Daphnia pulex: one gene and its partners. The protein of the gene in region 1 interacts with the protein of each later gene in a pairwise test. Links are inferred from orthologs where the notes say so. Each region holds a gene or a part of one and is shown in the gene's direction. Other genes may lie near its edges.

Region 1 (5,284 bases):
TATATTGTTCATCTAATAAGGGTTGGCGAATCCACCTACCGGCTTCTCGAATTTCCCCACAGTGGCTGCTGGCACGTCTTTGACGAGTCCGTCAACTTCGTTAAGTGGATCACCGCTTCATAAGCCACCAACAATGTGGTCGAATACGAATACTATACCACAACAGGCCAGTCGGTCAAACCCAGTCTCCAATTCTTCCACATCAACAAGTACTTCTATGCAGCAGCCCGTCAAAACACCCGGCGAAGGGCAACCTGATTACTCTAGAACAAACTTTGACTCTGTTTTTGGCCGTAGTGATTATAGTAATTTTTCCTTAATCAAAGATTTAAAAACAGTGTTTTAAATATTATGCGGTATTTCTTTAAATTTCAGCCAAAGGAGGTGGTGGCTTACCTAGACCTAAAGTTGCTGGCGATATGTTTGGGGATTTGCTGGGAACCCAGGGGTTTGATTTTAGTAGCACCAAAAAAGATTCTGGTCCCAAAACAATCAACGCTATGCGCAAGGAAGAATTGGCCAAAGATATAGATCCAGATAAAATGAAGGTTAGTATTTTACAAAATGTGTTTACTACGGATAAAATTATGAACTAACTGTTGTTTGTTTAATCTTGACAGATTATGGAATGGACAGAGGGAAAGCAGCGTAATATCAGGGCTTTACTCTGCTCGCTCCATACCGTTCTCTGGGAAGGCACTAAATGGCAAGACGTGGGGATGCACCAGCTAGTGTCGCACACGGATGTCAAGAAAATGTATCGTAAGGCTTGCTTGGCAGTGCATCCAGACAAACAGGTTGGTAAAATTTATCACGTCATTTACATTTAGTAAGAAAAGTTGCCTTTAATTCGAATGTATTATCACACAGTCTGGAACTGACAACGAGAAAATAGCAAAAATGATTTTTATGGAACTGAACGACGCCTGGTCTGAATTTGAAAACGACGTAACACAGCAAAATATGTTTCGATAACAGATACATTCCTCCATTCTTCATAGTTTACGAGCGTTGATTGTTCTATTTACGTGTTTATAATTGTCTAGCATTGGGTTAACTCATACGAAACGCCCATGATCTAGTCGTAACTCGGAATCGATGTCTCTCCCTACCGTCCCAAGATTTCCTTTCAAATTCAGCTACAATAGCTTACATCACGTTTTTAGAACTTTTCCTCAGCCGCTTTTCTTCTTTCTTTTCCTTCTCCGTGATTTTAATTGTTCTCTTTCTGTTTCTTCTACGGAGAAGTCGTCTCGTTTTCTCTAACGAAGGCGGTAATCTCCGCCCGGCTTAAGTTTAATAGCTACCGGTTTTCAAGAAGTAATACACGTGTCTGCATCATTATTAATGATTCTTAAAAGAAGCGTTAAAGATTCGGTTAAATTCAGTTAATTTAAAAATAGTATTAAAATAATTATTGTTCGGTGCTACAGAAAGTTCAGATGCAAGATGTAGCCACGTTGAGTTTTATTGCAGAAAAACAGTGACTTCTCACAAACCAATTGTTGGAATTTGCGATATAAATAACTTTATTCTTTCTCGTCACTGATTCTTCGTCACAGACACCTCTTATAACAAGTCCGTCCGCTCGATAATATAGATACGCATACAATTAACGGCACACAACTGTGGCGACATTTGGAGGTGTCGTAACTCGTAAAAGGGCCGACCCAAAAATATTCCTGTCCCAAAACAATCAAAAATCAACGATATGCGCAAGGAGGCAATTTTTTGGGAGAAGCTCCGTATTTTCTATTCCGTATCCGAAAAGCAAGGTGTTTAATTGACAAAAAAACAATTCAATTATTTATAAGTAGAAACAGGGTAGTATCGCTGTATCTGTAGTGCCTGGCCACCCCTGGCCACCCCTGGGCCCTGGCCCTGCTGGGCCCTGGCATGCCCCTGCCCCCTGGTTCCTCACTGCAGATTTAGGTAGCTGTTTAGTAGTCACCTTCACCTTTCATGAGATGAATACATCAAAACATAAAAAAATACAGTACAATTTGCATTCGTCGTCTATTTTTATTTCTTGTGTATGTTACTGCGAAGGCGTCCTGAGCTCTGTTTAAAAACGATTTGAACGACAACTAATTCAACGGATATAAGAAATTACTTTGCTGTGAAAATGTCTCTTTACGATGATATCGACGAAAATAAAGCTAAATCTGTCACCGGATGGTCGTCAGGAATCAAGCTTTTACATTCGCAGATGCACTTAAAGAAAGCTATGATTACACAGGTATCCTACAATTTACATTTCATTTGTTACTCATAGATTATGAAGAAAGATTTGTTTTTCCTAGCCAAAACGTGAAGGTATCCGAAGAGCTATCCATCCTGTAATACCACCCTGCCTCACAGCTACTGAATCACAGATAAAAACTGAACCTGAAATGACCAAAAATCTGATTCATCAGACACCCCAACTCTTGACAACTATTGTTCCTAAACAAGAGAGATCCTCACTCTTTGCTGAATTGGAATGGGACCCAAATCTAGAGTATGATCCACTGCATCCTACTGACTATGACAAAATCATTAGGGGTACACAGCACCTTTTATAGAAAATGAAAAATCTGAATACAATAATTTTTGTTTTTTTTTTTGTTTTTTGTTTAGAGAGAAAGGAACGACGAGGGATTGAAATTGAAATAGAAGAAGCTGAAAAGAAAAGGAAGCCTAGGGATGATCGAGATATTAAAACCAGAGACAGGTATATAATGGGACTGGGAGCTGCCTAATAAATATGGTGATGATAGAAACTGATTACATAACCATTTCATGTTTTAGGTCCTCATCTGCTGTAGGATCAGGTTTTGCTGGACGTTTACATGATGAGGAAGAGGAACCAATGGTGAAGAAGTCCTCTACTTCTGGTGGAGTTGCCATTGCCCCACCTCCATCATTACAAGACAACTCATCGCCATCTCATCCTTCTCTCTCCTCTACTGGAAGTGGGGTTGGAGCTCTTGGTGTTGCTGCTAAGATCATGGCAAAATATGGATTCAAAGAAGGTCAGGGACTTGGACGACAACAGCAAGGTATTGCAGCTGCCTTACAAGTGGAAAAAACAAGCAAGCGAGGTGGACGTATTATCAATGAAAAAGAAATTATGCCTCCTCCGCCACCTGTTGTGTCGCCAACAGCTGCTCCCAAAGCGGAATTAACGATTGCTGATATCATGAAGAATCCTTCAAAAGTGATTTATCTGAGGGTAATGTCATAGGTCAATCATTTTCACGGTCCTCATTTCAAATTCTGTTGTTTGTTTGTTTCCCCTTTCATTAGAATATGGTTGGCCCTGGTGAAGTGGATTCTGATTTGGAACCCGAAGTACGCGAGGAATGTCAGACAAAATACGGGGATGTGAATAAAGTTGTTATTTTCGAGGTACCTAACGCCGAGGAAGAGGAAGCTGTACGGATTTTTGTTGAATTTAAACGAATGGAAGCTGCCATCAAAGGTAATTAACTACAGTTGAACAATAACACAGGTCTGTTAAAAATTGTTAACTGTCGTTTCTTTTTGTAGCCGTAATTGATCTCAACGGCCGATTCTTTGCTGGTCGGCAGGTGAAAGCCGGATTCTATGATGTGGAAAGATTTCTCAAGATGGAGCTGAATGATTGAACACGTATTGAAAAATAAATTTTACGAATCGAAAGTAATTGAATTTAATTACATGGTATGGCGTTGTTCCCAAAAGTTGGAAGCATTTGACCTTTAGGACGAAAAACCTTTCTCTCGTTCTAGGAAATAAGATTGATTCCTTAAAAGGGATGAAGAGAGATGAATTTAAACTACTACGAAGCAAAACAAATTCTAACTTCACAAGCTAGCGTGTCCTCGCAATATCACACCAGAACAAATAATTGAATTGCACAAAAATGTGTTGATCAAGCAAGGTTCTACATTCAAAGTGTAAAATAGATTTACTTTACTTTGATTTTCACGACTACATTCATTTTTCATCAAAAGGTAGATTCTACTTTTTAAAATTTGAGTTGTCAAGCGTAGCTGCAAATCAGTAATAGACTTCTAGTGGATGCTTAGAATTTAGTAATAAAAAAAGTATAGATTTGAATTCGGAAACTTGGCGGTAGGTTTCCATATATATATCCCGTTTCCAAATCATAAAAAATTTCATGAAAATTGGTTCTTTTCTTAAGTGTTTTTTAAGTGACATTCAGTAGGTTAAACCACTTTCATATAAAAATGAGGTTAATATTTTATAGGGGACGATCTATCGACGTTAACGTATTTTTTAAATAGTATAATCCGGTTTCCAAGAACCATGAGTATATGTAGTTCTTCGAAATAGCTACGCAAAGTGGGAACCTCTTCTTGCCTCAAAATTCCTATGATATCATAATGTTGAAAGAATTCTTCGTGAATCGTTCATGTCTCAACATGATCGAGAACAAGGTCAGCTGTCATTGCCATTATTATTGACCTCATATTTTGACATTTAATATAGCTCAAATGCTCAATAACGTACGTGCTTATAAAGCATAGCATTTCAGTAAATACGGCCTGTTATGCATTATTTTTCGTGACCGTGTGCTGTATAATAAATTCGAAAGCGTCACCGCCTGTTTTAAAGATATGTTAGTATGTTGCAATGTGTTGTGGTTCATGAGCCGCAGGATTACAAAAAAAAATAAAAAAAAATAAATGTCATCATATCATAAAATGGGTAGATAACTTTTTCTTGAAGAGGGTGAGGGTGAGTACATGTTTTTAGTGGGGTAAAATGTCCGGAGTTCAAGGATAAACTGGTTCGAGGCAGTTCAATGATCCTATAGGAATAGAATAGGACACATCAACGTCTCTGGAGGCAAGTTCCGCAAATTCTTTTCAAACCTCCCACCACAAGTCGCCAGTCTGATTCGAACCATCAAGAAGGAAGAACTTCACAACTGACGCTCACCTAACGACATTTTCACGGTCACACTCTTACTATATACTAGGTATTGGTGTTCAAATGTTCTTATTTTACTTTTGTTCAGTTTGCAAAAAAAAAGGAATTTGGCCGATTGAAATCATTGCTTAATGATGTCTACGTTAATAATCAACTAGACATCTTATGATCAATCTCCAAATTTCAAGAAGATACGTCAATTAGGCTCTGCGTTATTCGAGGTCAAAGATAATTTCGTCACTTGAGAGTCTACTTGTTTCTTGCCTGCTGTAATGTCCGTCAAACAATTGGGTCATGTCCATGTGGTACAAAGTATTTTTTTTTTTTTTAACCGGGAAACATAATTGTCGTGTGCATTTGCTGA
Region 2 (5,799 bases), on another chromosome or scaffold:
GTTGATCCAACTTTACGCCGTTTGCACGGCCGAGGAGCCGATTTACATTATCACTGAACTCATGAAAAATGGTAGTTTACTGGAATTCCTCCAGGGTAAAGGACGTAACCTGAAACTAGCACAACTAATCGACATGGCCGCACAAATTGCTTCTGGCATGGCCTACCTCGAGTCGCAGAACTACATTCATCGTGATTTGGCCGCTCGCAACGTTTTAGTTGGAGAGAATAACATCGTCAAAATTGCCGATTTCGGTTTGGCGCGTATTATCAAGGAAGACGAGTACGAAGCTCGTGTGGGCGCTCGGTTCCCCATCAAGTGGACCGCACCTGAAGCAGCCAACTACAGCAAGTTCTCTATCAAGTCAGACGTCTGGTCTTTCGGAATCCTTCTTACTGAACTCATTACTTACGGACGCATTCCCTATCCTGGTGAGTCGAGTCAATTTGGTTGAACTCATTTTTCCAGTTTGCTAATCAATCAACATTTCGGCTAGGTATGACCAATGCTGAGGTGCTCCACCAGGTTGAGCACGGGTACAGGATGCCGGCACCTCCTAGTTGCCCACCTGCTCTCTATGAAATTATGTTGGAAACATGGCACAAAGACCCTATGAAACGGCCTACATTCGAGACGCTTCAATGGAAACTAGAGGACTTTTTTACCATTGAAGGGTCTGAATACAAAGAAGCCGCTGTTGCCTACTAGATCCGCTGCGGTTCCCTATTGAGCCAAAAGACTGGTGAACGATTAACCCACTCAATGTCATACACCCACAACACGTACTACACAAACAGCAATCGCGCACACTAGTTCTCCTTTTGTCTTGATTGACTTGGACTGCCTCTTAAAAAAACAACAACAAGGTTCAATGAAGAAAAGAAAAACGCAACGGTGCTCAGGCGTGTCTATTATTATTATTAATGGCATTACTTAAGAACTACTCCCCATATCCCAAGTAATATTTGATACCGTGTAAACCGCAACACACAATCACATTTTATTTTTATCTGGTTGGGATTTTTAGAAATGAAAAAAAGAGTGCATTCAAAATAATCATTATTTGATTATGTTCTCCCTTTTTCTTTTCTGTTTCTTTGCTCGTCAGTTTATTTAGCTTGGTTTGGCTCATTTTTAGCCTAACCGTTATGTACATTTCCATCCCGAGCATCCAATTGCTGTTGATGTGTATGTGGATGTGTGCGCTTCCACCCGATGTTTATCGTCACAGTTCTTTCTCTCTTTTTTTATGATTTAAATTGCCCTCGTCTCCTTATTATGATTTTTTTTGTTTCCCGTCAGTATCTCGTCTTCATTCGAACTTTACAGTCGTCTAGACTTTGTGTTTTCATCATTATCCCCTCTTGAATCCTTGATTTCCAGGAACAATTGGACAATAAAGCACTTGTTTTTTCTTTTAAATTGCAGTCGTTTGGTTGTCATTGTGCGCCAAAGTAGAATTCGGCCGTGGAACGAACCAAAGAGCTTACAACATGGTATTCATTCTGTCCTTAATTATGTCCTTATAGAAACAGTAGGGGAAAGAAAAAACGGGGCGTTTGTGGTTGCGTCGACACCGATTGTAGTAGATTTATTGTGAGCAAAGTTTTTATTTTCACCTTGGAACAATCGAAATCAGGACGCAATAATTTGATCAGGAATTGGAATGGTTGTGTGTGTCCAAATACTGGAAATTCGAACGTAAACCAGTTGAGATAACGTCTTTAGATTGAATAGCAGATGAGTCAAACTGACCGTTGACTTTCTGGTTTACGATTCCCATACAAGTCCGTAAAACATTATCGCCTCTGCTGGTTTTTGAACTCATGAGCAGTGGGAGGAGTCGAGTTTACAATTGTCATTGACCTGAGAACAAAAAGAAGAAAGATGGGCTTCGTTGTGGGATTTTGTCGTGACGCTGGGGCCGGTTCTTTTAGGAAAATTAATAAATAAAGAAGCAGTGCCATCTAATATTCGTGAACTGAAATACCGTTGGTTTCAGGATTTGTCAAAAAATTATTTCAAAGGTAAAATTTAGGTGGCGATTTCAGTAGAAGGAAGAATTCGCGACTGTTCCACATATGCCAATTCTTTCATGTAAACAGAGCGCGACCATGTTCAGGATCGCGCAACCTCTCGCCAATTTTCATCTCCAATGGCGGTGAGGCAAACGATGGTCTCCTGTTCCAATTATATTACTATGTAAAAAAAAGGAAAAAACTAGTACCCAAAAACCCTGCCGACGCTGGGAAGGGCTAGTGGGTGTTTCCATGAGAAATAAACTTGCCAAGTCATCAGCCTCAATTAACCACTATCGTTATGAAGGGGAAAAAAACGACTGATAATTATCGTCATTAGTTATCTAGAAAATGGCCAGTGTGGTTGTAGAATTGTGGAATTCCAGCTTGGGATTTTCCACTGGAACTCAATTGCAAACAAACTGGTGAAATAACTTCCTGCAACTAGGACATTTTTATCTAATCACCCTCATCCCATTTAACTAATAACGCTATTCCAAAACACAAAACAAGTGACCGAAATTCAGTCGTGACTTTTTCACCTGTGGAGCAAAGTAAATTACATGTGGCCTTCTTAAATGAGTGGTGAAGTCGGACTATCGAAAACCGATTGATGTGATGGGCCTACATGACACGCAACAGGATAGATAATTATAATTGACGTGATTTATCAATGATTTTTTGAAGCCATAGTGCCATACAAACAAGCAATGATAGCAAAGCCAAGCAAAGCTGATTACGAAACCCATTCAGTGTGACAACTGTGACACCTTTATGTTATATTTCAAATGAGTCTGTTAGATTGTGGTACCTATTTAAATAGATTCTTGTCATTGACATGTTAGATTGTCGTGGTTTAACAATTATACGACCACATCATTTGGAAATACGAAAAAAATTCTTGCACGACTTTGGCCGTTACTTAGCGGTGAACTTTAAATTAGTGATTGTCTTATCATTCATCATAATCAAACCTCTAGATTTTAGATTAATTTATGGTTACTAAAGGTTTTGTAACTTTTGTTGTTGGCACTCGGCAATGAAAAGGTTTTTAAACAAATGAAAGTGAAAGTGAATTACGATTTATAAATAAAGACCGAGCATTGCCACATTGCCAAGAACGAATCAAAATGCGAGTTAATCGATAAATTAAATTTTTCATTAATTTGACAATGTCGCGTCAGCCATCTTGGCGTCTCATCGCGTCGGGCAATAATTCGGCTCTCATCATTTCAATGTGCGCAAAGTTAGACGCATTCTATTTCTGACATTACGTGTTCGGTTAATTTCTGTCCGATTGTCCACGATTTCAATTGAATTTGACCATATTTTGCTATAAGTCATGCCGAGTAACGCTCATTCAACGGGTGCCAATACTACACCTCTGGGCAGGGTCAATCCAGCTCTCACCGGTGGAAGAAGACAAGCAACTTCTTCGCTTTTAAACCCGAATTATCTGAATTCGGATGATGAAGGCTCACACGGAAGCTACGAGCAAAAATATGAGCCAAAGTACGAAACAAAATACGAATCCAAATTTGATCAGCCATCTACAACTCCCAGCTACAGCTACCCCACATCATCTTCGTCCACTTCTGCCAGTGCCAACACCTGGAAACGTGGACTGGAAGATAGCAACAACTCAGATGACAATTCACTCGGTGGAGAGAAAAAGAAGAAGAGGCGTTCACGCTGGGGTGGAGATGAGAAAGAAAAGACCTTCATTCCGGGCATGCCAACTGTTTTACCAGCAAACTTGACAAAGGACCAGGAGGAGGCGTATCTAGGTAATAGTTCTGTGCATCTGTGTAACTTAATTTTTGAATATTGTGCATTCTCATCACTTGCGTACAGGAGTGCATATTCTGTCTTGTATGAGTGTATTAACTGATTCATCATAATATTGTGTGTATTGACTTGTGATTTTTCAGTCCAATTCAAGATTGAGGAGATAACACGGAAACTGAGGACTGGTGATTTAGGCATTGCTCCCAATCCAGAAGAAAGGTTTGATATATAAAGCCAATACTAATTCGTTTCTTTCCCAATTTTTCATAGTTAATCAAAATTAAATTGTTTATATTTCAATCTTTTTTTTTTTTAATTTGTCAGCTAGGCATAAAACAATTCATTCTTTTTTATCCATTGATTGATCTATATCCATTCCCTCCAAAGACCTTTCAGGTTCTTACAAATGAGCCTAGGTTGTGATGATTAATTGGTTGACATTTTAATCTTTTTTTCACCACAAACCGAAATCGTACTAATGCCGTCTGTTAGGTTCAGATGTAGGGAGCCTATAATTTGATTTTTTGAACCTTTACAGGACGTGCATTTATTTTCAAAGAAATATTCTAACGTTCAATATAGGCAATTTATACTTGCCATTTTTTAAAATTGCTTTTTATCTCGATTTTTCTCATTGCTCAGCTGGACGGATGGATAAAATTTCAGAACATTTAATCAATTGCAAAAATAATAACTTAATCAATTTACAATTATCCTCGTCTAAATTCAGAATAAGAAAAGATAGCTCATTTTCGTATTCCCTTTGTTCTTTTTTTCCTCCTTCATTTTCAGATCGCCATCACCGGAACCAATTTACGGGACGGATGGTAAAAGGCTGAACACCCGGGAGTACCGGATGCGTCGTAAGCTAGAAGAAGAGCGCCACTCCATGATCACCAAGATGATTTCCTTAAATGCTGACTTCAAACCCCCTGTAGACTACAAGTAAGATCATTTATCTTAGTTACCATGTCTGCCCTTACTTATCACTTTCCTTGTATTATTAGACCCCCTATGACGCGCGTCTCCGATAAAGTCATGATTCCGCAAGAGGAGCATCCGGAAATCAATTTTGTGGGGCTGCTGATTGGTCCACGTGGAAACACTTTAAAATGTAAGTTTTTTGTTTATTTATTTAACCGTAACATAACATTAAACCCGATCGTTATATTTTACCAGCTATGGAAAAAGACACTGGAGCTAAGATTATAATTCGAGGCAAAGGATCAGTCAAAGAAGGAAAAGTAGGTAAGCCTTTGCCAGGCGAAGATGAACCTCTGCATGCCTATGTAACCGCCAATAGTATGGAAGCCATTAAAAAAGCTGTCGATCGAGTGAGTATTTCCATCTTGAAGTAGAAAAAAGAACAATCAATGACGCTGTTTTTGAATTGACAGATTAGAAAGATCATTAAGGAAGCTGTTGAGGTACCAGAGGATCAAAACGATTTACGGAAAATGCAGCTACGAGAATTGGCCATGTTGAATGGAACGTTCCGCGAAGGCGAGTTTGGTCCACGGTGTTCAAACTGCGGTGCCACTACTCACAAAGCATGGCAATGTCCCGACAAGCCTAACGTCACGAACACCGTCATTTGCAACAACTGCGGAGGAACCGGTCATATTGCTCGAGATTGTCGAACTCCCCGTAATTCAGCTAATGCTGATGGAGCACCAGGAAATAAGATTGATGAAGAGGTAAATTTTGCAAAGCTTTAACGCAATCGAACATTTACTCATCTCCTACATTCTTTTAACAGTACATGTCTTTGATGGCCGAATTGGGAGAGGGTCCTCCACCGAAGAGTGAAGGATCGGGAAGCGGTACACGTTCAAGTTATCATGGAAGCTCTGGATTGTTTGATCGACAACAAGGACAACCTAGGGCCATCACTGCTGGTCCATCCATGGGTGGTGGTCGAGGTGGTGGTGGCGGCCCTCCACGTGGTCCTGGACCAAATCAACAACAAGGAGCTGCCAATCAATGGGGTCCT
Region 3 (5,788 bases), on another chromosome or scaffold:
GTGCAGGATTGGCGCATTTCCCTACAGGAACGCACAAGCACTGACCAGACTGTTTTCCAGAAACATCTTCTTCGGGAATGTAAGGATTGGGTTTTAGAGCTGGATCTTTCTTCTGTTCACCAATAGGAGCTGAACCGGGGACAGCTTCTAGATCTACAAATAAAAACATATTAAATTAGGCTTATAGAATTCGTACTATCTCATAAACGAAAAATGGGAAATCAAATTATTAATTTACTGAGATAGCCGGCGAGAAGACCTAGACGAGTGTGGACCAACTCATCGTCAGTACCCAACGCATCTACAGACGTGTTGGGTAAATCTACAGGAACTGGCTCTTCCTCTTCCCCAAATGAAATTTGTGGCTTGGCTACCACCGACGACACAAAGACAACGAATACTAACGCAGCACTTACTTTCATTCTGTCTAAATAAATGATTATGAAAATGTTGTTGTTAATAATTTTTAAAAAAGATATTTAGCACTTAAAGTTGTCTTACCTCGAGTTCAAGTTCTCTTAGAAGAAACTTGTTGAATGATCTGACTCTGGCTGTTGCTTTATATACTGGCTGATTTATCCTCCAGCACACACTGTTAACACAAGAGACCAGCTAGTTACCAACTCCTGGAACCAATAGAAACTGGTTTTTCAGTTGGAGGGTCACGTGACTTTGTCGGGATTTCCCAAGGTGAGTGTACACGTTATTTTTTTTCCCTCTCGGCTCATCAGGTGATTTAATTTAGGTTGTTCAACCATGTGTGCGGTTCACTTATAAAGCCTTTGTTATCATCAACCGGATGTGCCAATAGCTAAATGACGAGTCATTTCCATATGGCATTTGCTTTACTATTTGTTGTAGTTGCATTAGGCTGCATGCGTATATTTCGAATCAATATTATCGCTTTATAGTTTGAGGTTCTCCGGTTTCCCCTCATCCTTCCCCAGTTTTTTCCTCAAGGCTATTTTTTGGAGAGAAAGCAGTCAGTCAAGCTCAAGGTCTTTTTTAGCTTCTGCTAACACACCTTGGCACCGCAAACCCAAGTGTAGAGCCATCAACCGGTCATCAGCAAAAAAAAAAAATTTGGCGGAATTGTTTTAAATTTAAGTTTAAAAAAAAATTTTGGGAGAGAATATATGAGCAATAGAGCAAAATTGTTCGTTAATTGCAAGATTAGATAAGTTTTGGGTTACCTGAATGAGCTGTATGAATTTCGACACACAATAGTTAATTCGTTTTGTAATCAAAATTTCCCATTCATTTGACACGTGCATAGAAAAAAATGTCGTTCTTTTATTGTATTCAGGGATAATGGAAAGGGAAATTAGGATACACGATACATGCATATACTAGCCAAAACTGCAATGTAATATGGAAAAACCCAACGTCACTATCGAGTTGTACCCAAAATGAAAATTTCCCAAACTAGAAATAACAAAATAACGGAATGCTTTTGATGTTCTGTAAGCATGTATATTATATAAGTTGGAAAACCCTTTCATGTGGATCTGTTTTGTTTCGGCCGGGACTTAGGCCATGCACGGAAATTTACAATTAGTACAATTAACAGAACATAACGTTATATTTAACGAGGTATTAGTGAAAACTTCCGCTATTAAACAGTTATTGTGTAAAACAATGAAACTTTAGGGATAATGAGTATTAAATTAGGAAAAATTTTACGGTGATTCCATTATAATTTCTTCTGATTTTAAATTACCCTAGTAACAAAAAGTGGTGATGTTGAATATTTTTGGGACTTTCGCTATACAATAAATTGTGATTTCTTGTTCCTTTCTGTAATAATGTTTAAACGCAATTTTATGCAAGAATAATCAAGAAAGATTCGACAATGGAATACGACGATATTGGAGTCCATTCAATTTCACGGTGACATCAAACAATGGAATTTATCATCCCTGTAATAAGGCTGTAACAAATTTTACATGTTTTGGGGCCGATGGCTCGCGTGTTGCCCTCATGCGCATTTTCTTCTCCACCAGATTTGATCCTACTGACTGCCGGCCTCGCCTGTTACACAATGTAATAAACATTTGTGACAATTGGGTGCAGTTTTACGACATATACTACATGTTTTTTTCCTAACGCGAAAATCAACGAAATTTTAGTTGTCATATTCATATACTCATGACTCATGTTGGCGATGTGCCGATTGGCCGATCTGATTCTGTGTTATGTTATTCCTCGACCAAAAAAGAAAAATAATAATGATTGGCATCGCTGTTTTGGCCGATGCGAGCTGGAATCGGCTGAAATAGTATGAAGTGCTTGTGGGATGGATTGATCGAAATATAATTAAACCTTCTATGACGTGAAATTATAAGAAGATACTCAACTTCTTTTTAACATTCTTGCAACATTAGTGTATTGTGTCAAAATGGCCAAAAGAGGACTGTCTCGTAAAGAACTCGAAGAAATCAAGAAGCGCGAAGAAATTGAAGCTGCTGCTGAGGTGATACACATTTGTTTGGAGAAGCTGAACTTCAAATAATTCAATATTATTGTTCATTGGATTTATTATTAGGTATTTGAGGAGTTTGTAGCCACATTTCAAGAAGATGCCAGCAAAGTCAGTAAAGTTTGGGTCAAAGCGGGTACCTATGATGCTGGTCAAAGAAGTAACAGATTACACATTTAATGCTATAATATAGCCATTTTTCTTAATATTTTCATTTTAATTTGCAGAGGAAGATGCCAAAGATAAAGGCAAATTGTATAAACCAACATCTAAATTGGCGAGCTTAGCAGAATCTTTCTCCACAAGATCCAAGGCAAATGAATCTAAGGAATCTAAAGAATCAAAAGATAAAAGTTTACAAAAAAAGGAGAAGAAAAAGAGCAATCTTGAGATGTTCAAAGAGGAACTCAGAGTGTAAAACTAGATTATTCTCTTATTTAAAAAATAATGTTACAATTAAATTTTCTTACAGTATCCAAGAAGAAAGAGAGGAACGACACAAAGTTAAAGCTCACTTGAAACCAAGTCGCTTTGAGCCTGTCAATGTGAGTTCTCCAAGTACTAGCAAAAGCTCTCTTGCTCTTGGATCAATCTTGATAGGTATGTAAATTGTAATTGCATTTTGTAGCAAATTTGTCACACTTTTTTTGTTTCAGAAGAAAAGACAGGATCATTTGATGTAGGAGATCCCAATACCACTAACATTTATTTAGGCAATATCAACCCTAAGGCAAGTTTTAAATAAATCATGTTTTTATCAACTTTATTAACATAAATTTAATGTCCCTTGCAGATGACAGAACAACAATTGATGGACACATTTGGAAAATATGGACCTTTAGCCAGCGTAAAAATCATGTGGCCTCGAACTGAGGAAGAGAAAGCAAGGAATCGAAATTGCGGATTCGTAGCCTTTATGTGCCGAAAAGACGCAGAGAGAGCGATGAAAAAATTAAACGGTTTGACAGTTTATATTCCGTTTTTTGCATCGATGCATTTATATCAAATGTTTATTTTTCAACAGGTAAAGATATTCTGTCTTTTGAAATGAAACTCGGATGGGGGAAGGCCTTGCCAATTCCTGCTCGACCGATTTACATACCGCCAGCATTACTTGAAAAAACGCTTCCTCCACCACCAACCGGCTTGCCTTTTAATGCAATACCCTCCCCACAAGATATTGATCAGGTATGGCTGGTATGCAGTACCTTAGATGTTCTTTCAAACATAATTGAAATTAATATTTCCCTTGTCACAGATCCCGCCACCCGGAACACCCTACCCAACACACGGCGAGGCGTTGGAGAACTTCAACAAGGTATTGGGGGATGGGCTAAGCTATTTCAATCAACCCAGCAATATGACTGACACAAGACTCGAGACTTTTTATCCGCCTGTTCCGGCATTGTTACTCATGGTCGGCGGATAAAAAGAAGCGAGTGCTTTGTGTGCGGTCGCTTCGTTGGGAGGTCTCATCTTTTCTATTTGTGTTCTTCGGCGGAAAGCGATGAAACCCAGCCAAAAATTTGTTTTCATGCGTTGCATTCGTTTGGCTAGTGAAGACCGTTGTTCGTGTCTCACTGCTCTCATACTATTGTGTGTTTGGAAATATGTTGATGTTTCACCCGGGTTTGCTGCTTCTCTCGCAGATTATATCCAGGGCTGTTGTCAAAGTGGTTATCCCTACAGACAGGTATGTAACAAAGATCAAGCCTCATAATACCTTGAAGCTGCGCGGCTGTGTGACATTACCCTGCTCCCTCCGAGCCCCAGGGAGTATACACGTTTTGTCACGAAGGAACAACACATTGTTCTTTTCATTCTTCCAATGCGACTATTCCTTAAGTCTTATTTAATTCCTTTGTAAACTTTTAACTAACACTCGGAATGCTTGACCAAAAAAAAAAAGAAAGAAATTTTGCTTTTTCAATTGACCCACTTCTTTTAAATCATCGAACAAAATTTTTTAAGTCGGTAGCTAATCTTAACATTTTCATTTTTATCACCACGTAAATCTGTACGATTGACATTTGTGCGTGTCATACGTATGTTGAACTTGGTTTTCTGGAACTGGCGTACACAGAAATTTGTTGTGTTTGATTCATCGAATGATCGAATCTGTTGTTCGAGAGGGCCCAATGCTTGAGGCCATGGTGATGAACAAGGAAATTGATAACCAGCAATTCAGGTACCTAAATTGTCTTTTCTAAAAATGTTGTTGGATAGTAATTATTATTTCTTTTTTACTTTTGCAATCAGGTTTCTATTTGAAAACCGGAGTCCAGCTCACATTTACTATCGCTGGAAATTGTTCTCAATCCTACAAGGCGAGTCTGGTAATGTGTGGTCCACAGAAGACTTTCGCATGTTTAAAGGTAAAATTTCTTTTTATTCTGTAAATTATCCAGCGCTCATTTTTAAAAATTAATAGGCGGTTCCATCTGGAAACCCCCGTCTATGAACCCGTTTTCTGAGGGCATGCCAGACGAACTTTTCTCGTCCGACGAGGAAGATGATGAGAGTCGCCGACGATCGCTCAGCAAATCGTATTTACTACAATTATTTTTTCTAATTCATTAAGCAATTCTAATTTACGTTCAAATCCATAGTCAAAAGAAACGACTAGAATTGATGTTGAGAAAATTGACTCCTGAAAAATCCAAAGTAGCGGAAGCTATGATTTTTTGCATCGAGCACGCCGAAGCTTACGAGGAAATCATCGATTTCGTTACCGAGTCACTCAATAGTGTCAAAACCTATATTCCTCAAAAGGTAATTTAAGTCGTGACTTCCAAGTTGGAAGAAACCTACTTAATTTAATCTTGTTTTTGTTTTTTTCAGTTGGGAAGATTTTTTTTGGTATCAGACGTCCTTTACAACTCGTCTGCAAAGGCGGTCAATGCTTCCAGTTTCCGTTCGGGATTCCAGTCACACATGGTGGAAATAGTCAATTATATGCATCAAGCGTACGAGGCGACCGAGAGCCGATTGAAAGCCGAAGCTTTTCGACAACGAGTTATGCTCTGCTTTCGAGCTTGGGAAGAATGGAATGTCTATCCAGCCGAATTCCTCATTCATTTGCAAAATGTCTTTCTGGGCCTTGTCTCTGTAAGTTTTTTTTTTTTTCTATTTTTAAATCTTTCCAACACTTCATTAATTATTTTGATTTCTTTAAAGGCCGATCAAGATGTTTCTCAACGGACTTCAGGCAACGTTGAAGACGTCGACGGCATTCCACTTGACGATGCAGAAGCAATCGACGGAGCTCCACTCAGTGATTCCGAAGATTTGGATGGTTTATTTCAAATA
Region 4 (5,802 bases), on another chromosome or scaffold:
AAAAGTTGTAACTTTTAAATCGCTAGACATGAAGAATGTGCTATCGCTGTAAAACGACGCCATTTTGTTTTAAGTACGTTTTCACAAGTGATATTGCTGTAGGTGGTCTTTTCGTCTAGCATTACGACAGAAGATGGTTTATTATAGCTAATTACCGTGCGCTTTAGCGATTTGACAAGCGGCTAAACCAACAGCTCCACTGGCTCCATGAACCAAAACACGATCGCCGGCCTTGGCCTTTCCTCTGCACAACACAAGAGGGGGAAGAAGAATAAAAACCATTAGATTGAATTGAAAATAAAGGAAATGTGAAAGCAGAGTGTCTTTTATATACTTGATAAATATAGCGCGATAAGCCGTGAAGTAAGGAACACCTAGAGCGGCCCCTTGGGCGAAGGAGAGGCGATCAGCCAGATGGAACACTGAATGCGATTCACAAGCAACGTACTCGGCGTAAGAGCCGCTGGCTCCGGAAAAGAAAACGCGATCACCTTCCTGCAATAGAAAAGAAGAAATTGTAGCACTTTCTCTTCAAACTATTTCTTGAGTATTTGGATGATTTCAAATCATTGAACCTGTTCCTTTGGAAGATTATTTTAAAAAGGACGACTAACCTTGAGTGTGTCAACTTTGGAGCCAACTTTTTCAATAGTTCCAGAACCATCACGTCCAGGGATGTAAGGCAGAGTTGGCAATTGAGCAAATAATCCCATTCTAATGTATGTGTCAACTGGATTAACACCAGCTGAACCAACCCTAATCAAAACCTAAACATAGCAACTTTAGAACAGTCGTGTCAATTGAAGCAAGTGAACAAATAAAAAACCTGGGTTTCAGAATGAACAGGAATCGGAACATCAGACTCTACTTTCAAGACTTCTGGTCCTCCAAATGTGTGCACACGTACAGCCTTCATTGCCAGTCCCTGAAAATAAAACAACAATAAAAAAATCATTATTTTAATGTTCATAATCTCTACATGATTTTGTCCATTTTTCTGTATACCCTAGTTAATACAAAGAAGTTTCTCGAGTTCATTGACACATATTTAGTTAAGGGCTCGGTCGAAAGTTCGTTGCATCTTTCATTTTACAGTTTACCTTCACTGGATAATTTACAGTTTACCTTCACTGGATAACTGCTTGCTGGCTTTCTCTTATCTAATCAAGCAGCACCTCTAGTTTTATTCAATAAGATATCTGTTAATAACATCAACAAGTTCAGACGACATAGAGGGCGAAGGCTCCCAATTCAAAAAATGTCCGATCGCAATTTTTGCAAATCATAAACAGAAATGCAAATAAAAAAAGTAGTCTTTGGTCTCTTTAGAAGGAAAATATTAAATCAAAATGCGATGCTCTAGATACTGAGAGCGCGTAACGGAAATCGGGTTTCTTTGGAAATATTTTCTCCCGAAGTACGGGCACTTTTTCGGCCATTGAAATCAAGTTATTTAACAGCACACACGAAATTTCCAATTATTTTGTTAAGTAATATTACAGATTTTTAGCTATAGCGATAAAATTAACGGTAACAAAAAATTGTCTTACGGATTTTCAAAGGGAATTGTAACAGGGAAACGTAAACTGGACGGACGTAGGACGGAAGACCTGTTAATTCCTCGGCGGCAGGTAGCGATGTGAATGTCGGGAGCACCGAGAAAGAAGAAATAGGACATCAAATTTCCTAGCCTTTCTTTTTTTCTTTACTGCTATGTGTTCCGCTCAGTTCACGATTTCATGCCCGTTCTCTGCGTTCTACTTTCTCTCTACAACTTCCCTACTAATAAAGAACAATTTAAATTGAATTATTCCGGGAAGCATCAATGCATTTAAACAATAGCTTCTCCCCATATAGATTTTTATTTTCTATTTTTTCCTAGGCCTAATTTCATTAGACCAAACACATGATTAATAGAAATAAGACAAATTGAGTCCTTCAATGCGTATTGGATATTCAAACTAATTTATTTGAAATGAATTCAAAGTTTTTTATAATAAGGACGTCGTCAATGCTGAATTCTCGTGGAATATATAAACATAACGGTACTGAACGGAGGAAATATTCCGAATTGAGAAATCAACAACTTTTTCATTTAGGCTAACTTGTAACTTTCTAACCACCAAAACGAGGCAACCATGAAATTGTGATCGAGCAGTAAAATAATTACTATACTATTCAATTAGCAAATACCATATAGCTAGGGTCTGAAACGAATTAGAAGCAAAGCCATATACATTTATAGATCAGCGCCGCGCATAAAAATACGGCATCTGTAGACGAGTTATTGTCAACTTAAATTGTGGCAATAAACCAGTAGTTCCGCAGTTCGCCGCTTATTGGCTATGTGCCATCTAGCGATTTGAAATGAAACGCGTGCTTCCTTTGAATTTCACAAGTAGCGTCTGCAAGTGTGGAAATTGGTGGCCGAAGTTCCTGTCTGTGCTGTTGGAAAACGTGTATCCACGTCCTGTTCGTTTTTAAATATCGTAAAATAGATATTTTCACCTCTTATTATGTCGAAAAGACGCATAGAAGTTGATGACAAGCTCAGCAAGAAATCGTAAGTAAAATGCAATTATTCAAATTAGACAAATAAACCCGCGATTGTGTCATTTGTAATGCACATGAGCATGCTGTAGTGAAACATGTCGTGGTCGATAAGATTGTTAATGATTTTTCAAAAAACCATCATTCTTTTTTTAAATTATTATGCAATAAAATTAATTTGTTTTACTTTACAGCCGGGCAACTGGTGACAAAGGGAGTGAAGCAGATAAAGAAAAGTAAGCTTCTATTGTTATAAATATTTTTCTAAATTCATTTTCACTTTTTGATTTACAAATTCCCATATTAGTGTCTTAAGATTAAAATAATGCTTTGTCTTATTACTTTACAGAAATGTAACTGATTCTAAACCTGGTGGTTCATCTGCATCAATTCCAGTAACACCATCAAAGCCAGGGTTGACATTAAATCCCCTTACAGGATTGCCCTATACACAAAAGTACATCATAAATATTATTTTTTTTTAAACACTCGTTGATAATGATCATTTATATTGTTTTAGATACTATGACATTTATCGAAAGCGCATTGGCCTTCCAGTTTGGGAATACAGGGAGAAATTTTTTGAGCTTCTAGAAAACAACCAGGCAATAGTTTTAGTTGGAGAAACTGGATCGGGAAAAACTACTCAAATTCCTCAATGGTTAGGAAATATATTTAGTTTATCGTAGAGCAGTTTGTTGATAATTTGCTATTATTGTGACAGGTCGGCTGAGTTTGCGCGAAAACTAGGAGTTAAAAAAGGAGTCGCTTGTACTCAACCACGTCGAGTTGCTGCTATGTAATATTTTAAGTCAAATAGTTAATTTTCTCTTAATATAAAACCGTTTTTTTTTTGTAAGGTCTGTGGCTCAACGTGTAGCTGATGAAATGGACGTCGTTCTTGGTCAAGAAGTGGGTTACAGTATCCGTTTCGAAGACTGTTCTTCCCCCAAAACCGTACTCAAGTATGTTCTTTTGAGTAAAACGTTTTATTCGATCAAAACTATTCCCTATTTCATTTTTTAAAGGTACATGACAGACGGTATGTTGTTGCGTGAAGCCATGTCAGATCCACTGTTAGACTCGTATCAGCTAGTTTTATTGGACGAAGCTCACGAGCGTACACTTGCTACTGACATTCTTATGGGTGTTTTAAAGGAAGTCATTAAGCAAAGGCGTGATCTAAAGTTAATTATCATGTCTGCCACGCTTGACGCGGGAAAGTTTCAATCTTATTTTGATAACGCACCATTGATGAACGTGCCCGGTCGGACGCATCCTGTGGAGATCTTTTACACCCCAGAACCCGAGCGTGACTATCTTGAAGCAGCCATACGCACAGTCATGCAAATTCACATGTGTGAAGATATTGTCGGTGATGTTCTTCTCTTCCTCACTGGTCAAGAGGTTAGCTTTATATATTTGTAAAATTTGATTGAATTTCTCAGATTTCTCTGAACATGTTTATCTTATTCATGTACACATAGGAAATCGATGAAGCTTGCAAAAGGTTGAAACGTGAAATCGACAACCTTGGTCCTGAAGTGGGAGAAATGAAGTGTATTCCTTTGTACTCCACATTGCCACCAAATTTGCAACAGAGGATTTTTGAGGCTGCTCCCCCAGTTAGACCAAATGGAGCCATCGGTCGTAAAGTGGTTATTAGTACCAACATCGCCGAGACCTCGCTTACTATTGATGGTGTTGTTTTTGTTATTGACCCTGGTTTTGCCAAACAAAAGGTAACATTTAGGAATTTTCAAATGTGAGTTACATGGTTCAAATTTGTGGAATTGCTGTTTTCAGGTTTACAATCCTCGCATTCGCGTCGAGTCTTTACTCGTTTCTCCTATCAGCAAAGCATCAGCTCAGCAACGTGCTGGGCGTGCCGGGCGTACGCGACCAGGAAAATGTTTTCGTCTTTACACAGAAAAAGCCTACAAACAAGAGATGCAAGACAACACATATCCTGAAATTCTTCGCTCCAACTTGGGATCAGTCGTCATTAATCTTAAAAAATTAGGCATCGACGACCTTGTTCATTTTGATTTCATGGACCCTCCAGGTACCATATCAACATTTAAATAAATAAACCGCATGCTGATTTTTTTTTTTATTTTACAGCTCCCGAGACTTTGATGAGAGCTCTAGAGTTGCTGAATTATCTCGGTGCTTTAGACGACGATGGTAACATGACCGAGTTGGGAGCAATTATGGCTGAATTTCCCCTTGATCCTCAATTGGCCAAAATGTTGATTGCTTCTACGGAATTCAACTGCTCCAATGAGATCCTTTCGATTACGGCTATGCTTTCCGGTAAGCTTCACCTAACTTCTATTTCGGTTGATTTGGTTGTCTTTGTGTGGGATCTGAAAAATAGCTAGGGTGATTTGCCACGTTTTGCCTTTGTAGTTTAATCTAAAAGTTCTTACTTGTTATGGCAAAACGGCTAATCAACTGGTTTAAAAGGTGTGCTTTCTTTGAGAGCACAGATCATAGTAGAAACGATAGGCTGTTCTATTGTATCCTGTTAATAGGTGAACAGAACTAAACATGAAGGCGGGACGCGCGGGCTTCCCATTTTTTGGTCTCCTTGAAAAATGTGGGGCCCCACTTCCGTCTCTTTCTCTTTTTGTCTCCTCCCATTTTTTCCGCAACGTCTGAATGCAGTCCCACAAGTTTTTATGCGTCCACTGGAAGCCAAAAAGGCTGCTGACGAGGCCAAGATGCGCTTTGCTCATATTGACGGTGATCACTTGACTATGCTGAACGTCTATCACGCATTTAAACAAAATATGGAAGATCCTCAGGTATGCTCCCGTCTTTTTCTACGAGCTCGTTGATGGTAATCTCACATTTTTCTTTTTAAACAGTGGTGTTATGACAATTTTGTCAACTACCGGTCAATGAAATCGGCCGACAATGTGCGACAACAGCTTTCCCGTATTATGGATCGCTTCAATTTAAAACGCACATCCACCGAATTCACCTCAAAGGACTACTATGTTAATATTCGTAAAGCACTCATTAGCGGTTTCTTTATGCAGGTATAGAGACAAATAATTTCTTCTCTTTGTATTTAAGTACATCTTCGCGTTGTTCTTCCAGGTTGCCCATTTAGAACGAACGGGTCACTATCAAACTATTAAAGATAACCAAGTGGTACAACTTCACCCTTCGACTTGCTTGGATCACAAACCGGAATGGGTTATTTACAACGAATTTGTTTTGACCACTAAAAACTACATCAGA

The links.
Region 2: the proteins of splicing factor 45-like (region 1) and splicing factor 1-like interact in binary tests that used the Homo sapiens proteins (3 or more experiments, as listed by UniProt). The link is inferred for Daphnia pulex from reciprocal best matches to the Homo sapiens genes RBM17 and SF1.
Region 3: the proteins of splicing factor 45-like (region 1) and U2 snRNP-associated SURP motif-containing protein-like interact in binary tests that used the Homo sapiens proteins (3 or more experiments, as listed by UniProt). The link is inferred for Daphnia pulex from reciprocal best matches to the Homo sapiens genes RBM17 and U2SURP.
Region 4: the proteins of splicing factor 45-like (region 1) and putative pre-mRNA-splicing factor ATP-dependent RNA helicase PRP1 interact in binary tests that used the Homo sapiens proteins (3 or more experiments, as listed by UniProt). The link is inferred for Daphnia pulex from reciprocal best matches to the Homo sapiens genes RBM17 and DHX15.

Annotation. Positions count from the first base shown.
Region 1 is NC_060018.1:8,644,366-8,649,649, forward strand, and holds splicing factor 45-like, read left to right. Parts: upstream 1-1,924; 5' UTR 1,925-2,125; coding exon 2,126-2,239; intron 2,240-2,303; coding exon 2,304-2,544; intron 2,545-2,619; coding exon 2,620-2,713; intron 2,714-2,790; coding exon 2,791-3,214; intron 3,215-3,288; coding exon 3,289-3,463; intron 3,464-3,531; coding exon 3,532-3,629; 3' UTR 3,630-3,663; exon of another isoform or gene 3,664-3,752; 3' UTR 3,753-3,945; downstream 3,946-5,284. Other genes in the region: cyclin-G-associated kinase-like, read left to right, coding at 21-305, 376-548, 621-797, 871-975. UniProt on the Homo sapiens protein: Splice factor that binds to the single-stranded 3'AG at the exon/intron border and promotes its utilization in the second catalytic step. Involved in the regulation of alternative splicing and the utilization of cryptic splice sites.
Region 2 is NC_060027.1:2,738,549-2,744,347, forward strand, and holds the start of splicing factor 1-like, read left to right. Parts: upstream 1-2,358; 5' UTR 2,359-3,360; coding exon 3,361-3,805; intron 3,806-3,949; coding exon 3,950-4,025; intron 4,026-4,598; coding exon 4,599-4,751; intron 4,752-4,813; coding exon 4,814-4,920; intron 4,921-4,985; coding exon 4,986-5,140; intron 5,141-5,203; coding exon 5,204-5,503; intron 5,504-5,565; coding exon 5,566-5,799. Other genes in the region: tyrosine-protein kinase Src42A-like, read left to right, coding at 1-431, 497-708. UniProt on the Homo sapiens protein: Necessary for the ATP-dependent first step of spliceosome assembly. Binds to the intron branch point sequence (BPS) 5'-UACUAAC-3' of the pre-mRNA. May act as transcription repressor.
Region 3 is NC_060023.1:3,570,470-3,576,257, forward strand, and holds the start of U2 snRNP-associated SURP motif-containing protein-like, read left to right. Parts: upstream 1-2,238; 5' UTR 2,239-2,398; coding exon 2,399-2,473; intron 2,474-2,545; coding exon 2,546-2,639; intron 2,640-2,706; coding exon 2,707-2,893; intron 2,894-2,951; coding exon 2,952-3,079; intron 3,080-3,135; coding exon 3,136-3,209; intron 3,210-3,272; coding exon 3,273-3,438; intron 3,439-3,503; coding exon 3,504-3,667; intron 3,668-3,737; coding exon 3,738-3,797; intron 3,798-4,128; coding exon 4,129-4,172; intron 4,173-4,562; coding exon 4,563-4,667; intron 4,668-4,738; coding exon 4,739-4,854; intron 4,855-4,910; coding exon 4,911-5,025; intron 5,026-5,088; coding exon 5,089-5,251; intron 5,252-5,320; coding exon 5,321-5,587; intron 5,588-5,656; coding exon 5,657-5,774; intron 5,775-5,788. Other genes in the region: phenoloxidase-activating factor 2-like, read right to left, coding at 1-153, 239-422.
Region 4 is NC_060017.1:1,845,910-1,851,711, reverse strand, and holds the start of putative pre-mRNA-splicing factor ATP-dependent RNA helicase PRP1, read left to right. Parts: upstream 1-2,390; 5' UTR 2,391-2,516; coding exon 2,517-2,563; intron 2,564-2,744; coding exon 2,745-2,786; intron 2,787-2,899; coding exon 2,900-3,007; intron 3,008-3,070; coding exon 3,071-3,211; intron 3,212-3,274; coding exon 3,275-3,349; intron 3,350-3,410; coding exon 3,411-3,515; intron 3,516-3,578; coding exon 3,579-3,957; intron 3,958-4,037; coding exon 4,038-4,292; intron 4,293-4,356; coding exon 4,357-4,615; intron 4,616-4,674; coding exon 4,675-4,866; intron 4,867-5,220; coding exon 5,221-5,360; intron 5,361-5,423; coding exon 5,424-5,597; intron 5,598-5,658; coding exon 5,659-5,802. Other genes in the region: quinone oxidoreductase-like, read right to left, coding at 156-495, 615-767, 827-925, 1,006-1,038.